Oryzias latipes: one gene and its partners. The protein of the gene in region 1 interacts with the protein of each later gene in a biochemical or structural test. Links are inferred from orthologs where the notes say so. Each region holds a gene or a part of one and is shown on either strand. Other genes may lie near its edges.

Region 1 (3,652 bases):
CAGAATCCTTTTCAGATCTACTTGAAAAAATCAGCCAACAAGAAGCTCTGTAACTTAATTAATGTGGGCCGCATTTACACTGCATGGTTGAGGTGACCCAATTCCGATTTTTTTTCCTCTCATGTGGCACAGATCGGACATGACCGGTGAACTTGTAAGCAGGAAAAAACCGCATGGATTCCGTTTTTTCAGATCGGATTCAGACCTCATTTATATGTAGAAATGAATCGGATACGTGCATTTGCGTTTTCCATGTAAGCAGACAAATCGGATATTCCCCAGTAAATGCGAGTCGTACGTCAGTGACATCAACTCAGGACACCACCAACTGAGATCACATGACTTATTAAGGTGCTTTTGTGCGCTGATTTTGCTGTTCGAGGACAGCTGGAGCCCCAGCAGCGTGTTACCTTTCAGCCTCAGGCTTCGTTATTTCCGGTCCCGGTCTGGACGCAAACGGTAACTAATCAAGCGGGACACCGTTGCTCTGGAACAGGCTAGAAGCCGTTTGTTTCTTTGCTTGGATCAGACTTTTAGTACAGCACAACGTCTGCAACACTTCCTCATTCAAAACTCAGAGAGAGCACATAAGCCGACCGCGCAGCTCTCCTTTTTCCTCTCCCGCGCATCCCCTCTCGTGGATCTGCCTCATCCTGTAGCGTCTAAGGCAACGCCTCCTTCTGTCGCTGCGTTGCCTCCATGACAACCGCAGTCACACAAAAGTCCGAAGGAGGTCTGCGGAAGGCGGAAATGCTGCTACGGAATCCTCAGAACGTCTACGTTTGATATTCAGCATTGTATAGTGTAAATGCAAAAATCGGATATGGGCCACTTTTAAAAGATGATGTAAGCGGGTCGTCAGATATAGTCAGAAAATCGGATTTGGGTATCAAGACCTGCAGTATAAATGCGGCATAAGTTGACTGCTCTCTTAAGGCTTGTGGAGTCATTCAACCCTGTTAAATGATTGGGTTTGAACTTGTCTGCCACCTGCTGGCTGACTGTTGCATGTGTAGAGATATACGTTTGTTAGGATTAGTTTGTTTCAAAACATCAGGACCGAACAATTGATTGTTGGGAGGAAAATAGCAGATAAATTGGAATTTTAAGTCAAAATCGTTTGTTTCTTTATGTGGTACTTTGTACTTAGCGTGTTTTCTAAAGGGGGCGGGACTAACTGATGGGGTATGATGAGTAAACTAAAGCAAAGGTCATGAGTTTGAAAGCAAGTAAAGAACAGGATGGAGCTTGTTTTATACATAATCGCTTCATCCAAGAATTTAATGAATGACAGAAAAGGCAACACATCCGATGTTTGTTTAGACTTCTCTCAACCCTCGTGTAAAATAAGAGAAATATCCCAAACTGAAACAATGTTAGTCGTATTTTGTATTATCAGTTTATTTATTGTGAGTGGGGGTCCTGTGTTCCCTCCTCAGTGTCTCCTCAGAGTGACAAGCTGAGTTACGCTGCTGCTGCTCTGCAGGCAGGTGGAGGCCCTCACCCATCAGGCCAAGCCTCCTCCTCCTCCTCCAGCTCAGCCTCACCACAGGTACTAAACACCGCCATCATTTTCTGCTGTTCCTTCTGTGAGCCCTCAGCTTGATTTAGACCAGAGAGGCAGCTGTGTGCGATGCAGACAAGAAGAAGCCAAAGTAGCAAGGCTCATGGAGATTGACATCTGTAGAGATCAGAAGATTGAACTTGATAAAAAAAAGAGTGCAGCTGTTCAATCAAGTTTTTGAAACTTTTCCATTTTTAAACACATTTGGAAAAGAAATATGATTGAATTATAATGTTTATTGCACATGATTGATTTAGATAAAAGTGTATTTTTTGAAAAAACCTGAAGTTGCTCTGCTGTTCTGCCTGAATAAACACTAAAATGGAAAGCAGGAAAGATCACAGTGTCTTTGCACAAATAGCTACGAAACATGACACTTTACCACAGCTGGGGGGTTTATTGAAGAGTCGTTGTTTTAGTCTTGGGAGTTTTTTTTTTCCTAATTAAAAAACTGCCTTTTCTGCCAATCTCTTTCCGAAGTTTGTTTTCTGATACTCTTTCATAAAAAAATTTAAAAAAAGTCCATATACACTAAGCTTGGGTGATAAATTGATTTTATTGATGAATTCTAATTTGCAGTTTATTTTTGAGAAAATCTGGAATGTGGACCCCCCGTTTCTTCATTTCTATGGAACTGGTTTGTTTTTGCGACTTCAGACTCGGGGCAACAACCACAACCTGCACGCTAGAAAAGCTGTTAGAAGGCTTTGGATCCCAGAAGTAGGAGTGGGACGGATTTGTTTTAGCTCCAGAAACAGAAACCAGTCGAGTGGGAGAAGTTCTGTTCTCTAAGAGACGCTCAGGCTAACGAAAGTCGTTTCGTTTGACCAATCGAATGGACTCCTTTTATGTAAGAAGCTCGCCTCCCATGTAGACGAGGGTCATTTGGAGTGTAGTTGAAGTTATGTTGACTCTTATTTAAATTAAACTGTTGCAGTGAAATGAAACGATGTTTTGGGTTATTTTGCTGTTTGTTCATGTGTTATAAGTTACATCGTCATGGCAATATCGATCATTAATAGCGCAAATCGTGTGTTTTCTTCATAACGTGCAACTCTAGTACTCTGTCATTTTTGTTTAAGAAAACAAACGGGTAGAGAAAAAATGGCTTTAAATCAGAAATCAAATTTGGTGTAAAAAAACGTAGATTTTATTATTAGGCCACATCGCCCGGCCCAGTTTTCCCAAATACTTTGTTTTGGACACATTTTCTGTGGATTCGGTTTCACTTCATTTTAGCTGAAGTGTAACACTGCTAAAGTTTAGCTTTTAACTGACTTTTTTATTTTATTTTGTTTTTTTGGTAGCCACCTGTAAAAAGAAAGTTTGAGTTTAGCAAAGAGCGACTGTCTGCCTCCGGTCCTTCTCCCTCAACCAAAAAGAGTCCTGCTGGTTCTCCTGAGAGCAAAGCCGCCACGCCCAAACTCAAGCCAAGCCCAGCCGCTACGCCCAGCCCAAGCACCACTAAAGGTAGGTCCCTGCATTCAGACTGATGCTGTTAAACCAATACTCATCATTTTCTTCTGTGGTCGTTTTGTTCTGCAGTGTCGTCCACTCAGAGATCCACTGAGAAGAAGAAGGAGGTACAGTCTAAACCGGAGCTTAAACCCAAACCAAAAACCAAACCCCAAAGTGAGCAGCAGGTCCCGTTCAAGAAGATCATGGAGGGGGTCGTGTTTGTGCTAAGCGGCTTCCAAAACCCCTTCAGAGGGGAGCTGAGAGAAAAAGCCCTGGAGATGGGAGCCAAGTACCGCCCAGACTGGACGTCCGACTCCACACATCTCATGTGAGCAGTTAAAAAAGGGAAATCGGTTTGCTCAATGTTACGTTTTTCATCAACATCAACAGACACTTGGGTTTGGAACTATCACTGTGAGCGAAATAAGCACTAAAGCAAGACAAAATCCTCATTTTACACAACAAACGTTACATTTAATGGGCCATTAGCTCCCTAATGAGGAATCCACCTCATGCAGTTTATTAGTTTGCTGCTTTCCTGCAGCCATGAAGTGTTATTTGCTCATCTGACTATTTAGGTTTAAGTTAAACTGCATTTTTACATCAACTATAGTACTGCCACATTAAACA
Region 2 (3,752 bases), on another chromosome or scaffold:
GATCACGTGGAGGTGGATGTGACTGAAGAGTGTAAACAGAACGGTTCATTAGTGGGAAAATGTCAAATTCAGCCGAGATGTCCTCGTGTAACACTACTCTGATGATTTATTGTGCTCTGAAAACAAACCCACAATGAGCACATTTAAAGCAGTAATACCTTTATTTATCCAGGTAGTGATGCTTCAGCACAAGCTCTCAGGGGAATCGTTGCATCCCTACTGCATATGTTTGCATATGTTTATGTTGAAAGTAACAAATACGAGCATTGTGCTAAATTTAATATAGTTTTATCACATTACACCAGGGTCATTATAAGCAAACTAAAGGGCTTTGTTTACTGTTACTTGCTTTCTAGATAATAATAAATAAATAAAAACCAATTTTTTTTTTATTATTATTTTGTTATACACATGTATCAAAGTGAAACAACACTGTGACCTGAAAAACCAGAAAGTGAATTGTTGCATCTCTTCATTATTCTTTATTAATTTTCAACAGTATGGGGAAATTTGAGGCTGGACGGTGGGGTAGTGGTTAGCGCTCTCGCCCCACACTGAGAAGGCCCTGGTTTGATTCCCAGCAGGGCCCTTTCTCTGCTGAGTTTGAACGTTCTCCCGATGGGTTTTCTCCAGGGCACTCTGGCCTTCCTCCAAAAGCATGCATCATAGGTTTACTAGGTGACTCTAAATTGCCCCGAGGTGTGCATGTGTTTGTGTGGCCCTGCAAAAGACTGGCAACCTGTACAGGGTGTTAACCGCTTTTCCTCAGCAGTAGCTGGGACAGGCTCCAGCAACCCCGAAAGGGATACAGCGGGTTAAGAAAATGGATGGATGGTGTACTTTAAGGAGTAACAGCCCAATAAACACACATAATAAAGACTTACCTCATGCTTGGGATGGCGTGATAACCAGTCCGGAAGCTAAGTGAGCTGGATTCTGGACATTGCTTAATCATGCGCTCAGCCACCTTCTGCATGTGTTTCAGCAGATCGCAGTGTTCTGCCTTCAAAGCCTTCAGGCTGGGAATCGACTGCCATGGAAGAACCAGCCAGTGGTAACGAGCTTTGGGATACTTGTCTTTGATCACTACAACTGTATCGTCCTTGTATATCTAAAAAAAAAAAAAAAAGATCAATTAAAACAGAAACAAAACCTAAATTTAGTTTCAATTTAGACGTACGTTTATCAGTAAGTAATGTTGAGTTATAGCTACCTGCATTTTGGGGTCTTGCATTGAAGTTTTCAAGCCTTGACTCCAATGCCCAGAAATTCCCTACAAAATGTCAGTTAACATGAATTATGAGAATGAATATTTAAATAAAAACTCTCCAGGTCTGCAACAATAATTTGTATATTAGGCATAAATCACAGATTGTAGATTTCTTTGTTTCTCCTCACACTAGTTTTTGTGGCTTCTCCTGGAATGACAGCTGCAGCGACTTTTTCTGTGAGTTGTCCAGCTTTCAGGCAGTCTGTCTCTCTTTGGCTTCCTCCATTCTCTTTGACTGGCTCTGGTGGTCTTTTGGTGGCGCCCTGGCTCCCGGTGGTGTCCTCTTTGAACTGCACGGTGTATGGATAAAGGCTGTTGACCACGAGCAGCTGCTCTCCAGGCTTCATTTTGACCTCATTGCCTTTACCCACCACCAAGGAGCCGACAGAGGTGGGGTTTAACCCCAGCTTAGGGAGGGGAGAAAAAAAACAGGTAAAAAAAATAGAACAATAAAAATAATACAAAATGTACAGCAATAAGGCTTTTTATTTTGTTTATACCACTGATCATTCTTGTGAGCATGTTACCTGCTTCACTTTGACATAACCTTTGTTGCATTCAGCTTTCAGTTCAACTGATGGGAAAGTCAGGAACATTTAGACAGGTTAAAACTTTGCATTTCGTTTTACAAACATGAATGAAAATAACTTGATGCTCAAGTCATTCAATTCCTGCTGTTTTCTTAAATGTATTATCCCTGAAATCACTAAAACAATAACAGATTATTTTCCTAACATTCTTACTGAACTCACAGGAAATCTAGAGACTGTTTTTGTAGGTAACATCGTTACCTTGATGCCGGGAGCATTTTTTGTCTTTGATAGTAGTTTCTGGGCCTCGACCCACGACAACTGTCTGTAAATGAGGCAGGTGAATGGGTTTGTGATTCCCCTCTTCACTAATGAGCCAGCAAATGGGCATTTTCTCATTTCGTTACGCTTTTCTCCCTAATATTTAGCAGCGGGACACGTTTGAATGTTTGTTCAACTTGTCGCGGAGTGATGACGAACGAGGGTGCGACCGAGGAACAAGGTGGGGTGGGAAGTTCTGTCTCCTCCCAGAGTTCTTCACTTTGCGAGAGCGCGCAACAACAGCAAAATTGTGAACGACATAAAAACGTGTTTTCTTGTATAAAAATGATATCTTGTAAAACAACTTTTTATTTTTTTTTATTTTTTAGTTGTTGCTTTTTAATTTTTTGGTCTTTTTTCTTCTTCTTGGTTGGTTGGTTTGTCAATGAATGGACATTAAATCATAGCAGTTTCAGAAAATTCAACAAGGCTTGGCTCTTTTTAAATAATATTTAAAATATCACTTTTTTGTATCTAAAACTTTTATTATGACTGACTTTCTGAAACGTGATTGTGCTGAAGTTAGATTCGTTCTTTTTTTCATTTAGGTTTAAATTTGTGGGTTTCAGTCATGTTAATATTGATATCTTTTGGGAGAAAGAACATAACTCGACATGGTGCGGTCACAAGTACCAACAGTCGGGTTTAGCTGTCGACGCGCGTTCCCGCGAGGTGGACGTAGATGTCTGCGCTGCGCGCAGACAAAACTCGACACCACACCAGCAGTCGGCAGAAAGAGGGCTGCAGGAAGATTCTGGAAGAGCCGTTGTGAGCTGCAGTCTTGTGAGGGTGCTAAGCGTGGTCTTCGTTTAAGGTTGGAAAACCACTAATTCTCGAAACATGTTATTAACAACAGCCCACACGTGATTTGTTGGCTAAAAAAATTGGCAAAAAAGCCACCATGTTGATGACATACATAGCTACGACATGAGTAGCTAAATTAGCTACAAAGGCCGAATCATTGTGCCCCTCTACGCAGAGAAATCTAACTTTATCCACAGATAATGGAACAGTAGTAAGCAGAACACCAATGTTAGTCGACATGATGAGCCTGTCGGACTGCATTATATTTTCGGTGTTTTTCTAAATCCCTAGAAGCTTTCAGCTATGATATTGACCAAATGAACAGACTCTAGCAAATAACCCGTTTGCTGCTAGAGCTTCTCGGGTAAAACTGACCTGAGGAACAAAAAGTCTCAGCATTGTTTATTTGTTTTTTTCTATTAGAACAATCTGTCCTAACACACACAGCTACCGTCTCTGTTTTCTCACACAAAACAACAGAAAATTTCTAAGCCAAAAACTCCCATCATGCTCATTTACATGCCTGAAAAAATGTTTTTTTAAACAGCAATGCTCAGATCTGACGTTGTTTAAATATTTTAGTACATAATCAGATTGCTTTGTTAGCAAGTAAAGACTTAAGACTCTTTCTGTTGTTGCTTTTTTCAGCGTCTGGTTGCTTATTGGTCACATTTTAGTCAATCTTAGAATTGGGCAACACACAAGTAAGAAAATTGGACCTCATTCACCTTTGTTTATCATTTCTGAGAAAAAGTTGGCTTTTCTGCTGTAAGCTTCATCCCTTCTTTTTTTCCCTTTCACTCTTGCAGTAACTGCTATTTATTTTG
Region 3 (3,752 bases), on another chromosome or scaffold:
GATAATCTAATTAATAACTTAAAAGTATGTTTCGTTTTGAACATTGCACTTACAGCCTTGAGGAAAGGAAAGCACAGTGGCGCAAAGAGGAGGAGGAGAGAAAAAGAAACACACCCGATCCTACAATCCCACCTGGTCACACCTTAATGCAGGACAGTGAAAGGCAGGAAACACTGAAATCTCTGAAAGATAGTATGTATTTACCTTCACCTTTAGTTGATTTTGATACTTAATACACCACGTATAGTGTGAGACTTTATAGTTCCTTGGTTAATTATACTTTTTCCTCCTCAGCTCATCGCACCCTGGTGATGGAATTAAACTCACTCCCTCTGAAAGCAGACAACCTGAGTACTCGCTCACGTCGGGCTCATCTTGACTGCAGGCTTTCTGAAATTGAGGAGGCAATAAAGATATTCTCCAGGGACAAAGTTTATATCAAAACTGATTCCTAACATCTCAAGAAGAGGATATATAAAGAGGATATATAGGAAAGGGTGGAATAGGATCCTTAAAAATCAACACAATTTAGATACTGCTGTGGAAATATACCCAAAAAAGTTGTACATTAGATTTATTTGCTTTGAATGCATTTTTTATTTTATAAAATGTATACATGGTATCTTGAAAAACAGTTGTGTATCTGCTTGTAATTTATTTATTTTGCTTTTGAGCTGTATTTGATGTATTGTAGCCACATAACTGTCAGTAATGAAAATGTATATTTTTCTTTCTTAAATCTTATCCAATAATACTTTGTACAGAACCAGTGTCTTTGTCTTTTTATGTATTATACCCAATTTAACCATAAATACACTTGAATCCTTTTTGACGAAGTGCGCACGCGCAGCCCCGCCCCCACCATGTCTCATTGTTCAGAGCAAGCTAACTTTTGCTAACGTGGTAGTCAGAAACTGACTGACACCTTGCAGCTTGTAATCGCTTTCGCACGCAAATATTACTTGGGAATTTTTTTTAAAACACTACAATAGTGAATTACATCCACTATGAGCAAAAGAAAAGCACCACAGGAATCTCCAAACGAAGGAATAACGGACTTTCTCATCGGTAAGTGAAGTTAAGGTTTGCTAGCAGAAGCTAGCCTTTCCATTTAAAAATAAATACCCACATATCTTGCTAATTATGCTTTATTGAGAGTGGCCCCGTTGATTATGTTTCTTTCTCGTCAGTTAGAAAGCATCAAGGTTACTTTGATGTACAATATTTAAACTTAATGACTATGATAAAATCACTCAAACATAAAGCCGACTCTAAGCTAGCAGAGTTAAGCTGATGAATGGGCGGATCGGTGTTTTGAAAATCATGAGAGGTGGGAGAATGCCTTAATGGGTTTCTGTTTGCAGAGTTGGCCAACTACGAGAAAAATGTCAACAGGGCAATACACAAGTACAATGCTTACAGGTATGTTCGGGAGAGTAAGGGAGTGTAAGCCCCATTGTTGTTGTTTTTAAAAATAATTACTATAGCAATGATGTCTGCCCAAAACATCCCCTTTTCACAATTTTTACATTTAAATATGTCCATGCTCTTTGAATCCTTCCTGTGAAATACAGAAATTTTCACTAAATCTTTCATAGAGCCGAGAACCTAACATTGTGCTTTGTTTGTGTTGCATGATGAGTGTGTGTTTTGTGGTTCCTTCTGCTTTCTCTCTTTGCTGCTCCCTTGGTATCGCTGCACCGAATCATCCGCCTCCATCCACTAAACCTCCTCTGCATCCTCCTCACTCACACTACCCACCTTCTCCTCAACAACATCCATGAACCTCCTCTTTCCTGTAGCTCCAACCTCAGCATCCTTTGATCAACATTATCACTGTCCTTCCTTTGAGCGTGTCAAAATCATCTCAGTCTGCTTCCCTGCATTTATCCTCAAAACATCTCACACCTTTCCTTATCTCATCCATCCTCATCACACCCAAAGAGAACCTCAGCATCTTCATCTCTGCTACCCAAAGCTCTGCCTCCTGTCACATCAGAGCCACTCTCTCTAATTCAAAAACATGGCTGCTCTTACCACAGTTTTCTGCGGCTTTCCTTTCGTTCTTTCTTTTGTTACACTACACACCTTCCTCCACCCGTTGCAACCCGCTTGCACATGCCTCTTTTCCCACACTCTTTGTTGTTCTGGACTGTGGACCTTAAGTACTTAGTCCTCCATTTTCTCCACCAACTTCTCAGCAACACGATTTTCTTATCTTCTTCAGTCAGAGTTTAATACCTGCGTTGATATTTTTTTTTTAATCTTATTTTTTTTACCTCTTTCATTCATAATAGGAAAGCAGCATCTACCATTTCTAAATACCCAAGCAAGATTAGGAACGGAGAAGAAGCAAAAAAACTGGTATGTGCTGATATATATATATATATTTAAAATATCTCCTATTTGATGTGAAATTTTCCGAATTGTTTTTTGTTGTCTTAAGAATGTGTTAATGTTTTAAGAAGTGTTTTATGAGCTCTATCTGAACCTAAACTATTTTGTTAACTTACATTTTCTATAACTCCTGAAAATGCTGAAGCATCCGCCTACGTATTTACATTCAATTCCTCTTTCATGATTCAGGATGGTGTTGGTGCCAAAATAGCAGAAAAGATTGATGAATTTCTACAAACTGGCAAACTAAGAAAACTAGAAAAGGTGAGAGTTTACTGATACTGCAGAGGATGTGCTGATAGAATCCATGTTGTCACACAAACTGATTTATTTATGTTTTTCGATAGATCCGAAATGATGATACCAGCTCTTCCATCAACTTCCTCACTAGAGTTACTGGAATTGGGTATGTTGGTAATGTTATTCGTATAGTTGGATGACATGGTTTTTATTGACCTTTACAGTGGTCCTTCAAGAGAAGCTAAAAAAGTTATTTCTGTTCTGCAGATATGATTTAAAAAACATATAATTAGTGTGTCTTTTTTATTTAGCCCTGCTGCCGCCAGGAAGTTTTTTGAAGAAGGGGTGAAGACATTAGATGGTTTGTAAAGTCTCTTATGTGCATTACTATTATGTGACATCAGTATGAATGTGTTGCAAATTCTAAAATGTTTTGCATTATGTTGATTTTCCGTATGTTCCTATTCTTTTGCAGATTTGAAAAAGGTTGAGCACAAACTTAACCACCATCAAAAGATTGGACTCAGGTAAAGGTTTGACATTTACTTATTCAAATACTCAAAAATGACTGTTTAGTGACTAATCTGCTTCATTTAGGTACTTTGAAGAGTTTGAGAAAAGGATCCCAAGAGCTGAAATGGAACAAATGGAGGTAGTTTTTCCTTTTGCTTCTATGTTTTCTACTTCCGGGCTGGAAAGTGTCGTGTATTTGTCAAGCTTTTCATCATCTTGTGTTTTTAAGGCTCTTATCATTGCTGAGTTGGAGAAAATTGATCCAGAATATATTGGAACAATATGTGGAAGCTACAGAAGAGGTGATCTTTACTGTCTTTAGTCATTTTCTTTACTGGTTGGTGGCGTTTGTAACTGTTTATGGTTTCCAGGTGCAGCGTCGAGTGGTGATATTGATATTTTGCTGACCCACCCAAACTACACCTCGCAGACTGAGAAACAGGTAAAAAGTAATCTCATGAATACTTTTATTCCCATCTTTATCTGCAACTCAGTTTTCTGTTCTTTTGTCCTCAGCCCAAGCTCCTCCATGCTGTGGTTGAACACTTGGAGTCCATTGGCTTTGTGACTGACACTCTGTCCAAAGGAGACACCAAGTTCAT

What was found.
Region 2: the proteins of xrcc1 (region 1) and aptx form a complex in vitro, tested with the Homo sapiens proteins (2 studies listed by BioGRID). The link is inferred for Oryzias latipes from reciprocal best matches to the Homo sapiens genes XRCC1 and APTX.
Region 3: the proteins of xrcc1 (region 1) and polb form a complex in vitro, tested with the Homo sapiens proteins (5 studies listed by BioGRID, with this or other methods). The link is inferred for Oryzias latipes from reciprocal best matches to the Homo sapiens genes XRCC1 and POLB.

The regions. Positions count from the first base shown.
Region 1 is NC_019874.2:25,079,733-25,083,384, forward strand, and holds part of xrcc1 (DNA repair protein XRCC1), read left to right. Parts: intron 1-1,439; coding exon 1,440-1,552; intron 1,553-2,871; coding exon 2,872-3,034; intron 3,035-3,109; coding exon 3,110-3,350; intron 3,351-3,652. UniProt on the Homo sapiens protein: Scaffold protein involved in DNA single-strand break repair by mediating the assembly of DNA break repair protein complexes. Negatively regulates ADP-ribosyltransferase activity of PARP1 during base-excision repair in order to prevent excessive PARP1 activity.
Region 2 is NC_019859.2:15,250,523-15,254,274, forward strand, and holds the start of aptx (aprataxin), read right to left. Parts: upstream 2,292-3,752; 5' UTR 2,192-2,291; coding exon 2,062-2,191; intron 1,845-2,061; coding exon 1,798-1,844; intron 1,678-1,797; coding exon 1,399-1,677; intron 1,274-1,398; coding exon 1,214-1,273; intron 1,112-1,213; coding exon 885-1,111; intron 23-884; coding exon 1-22. UniProt on the Homo sapiens protein: DNA-binding protein involved in single-strand DNA break repair, double-strand DNA break repair and base excision repair.
Region 3 is NC_019867.2:6,237,132-6,240,883, forward strand, and holds the start of polb (DNA polymerase beta), read left to right. Parts: upstream 1-866; 5' UTR 867-1,007; coding exon 1,008-1,068; intron 1,069-1,364; coding exon 1,365-1,422; intron 1,423-2,297; coding exon 2,298-2,364; intron 2,365-2,586; coding exon 2,587-2,661; intron 2,662-2,744; coding exon 2,745-2,803; intron 2,804-2,948; coding exon 2,949-2,998; intron 2,999-3,112; coding exon 3,113-3,164; intron 3,165-3,234; coding exon 3,235-3,289; intron 3,290-3,379; coding exon 3,380-3,452; intron 3,453-3,521; coding exon 3,522-3,592; intron 3,593-3,666; coding exon 3,667-3,752. Other genes in the region: enkd1 (enkurin domain-containing protein 1), read left to right, coding at 56-192, 295-455.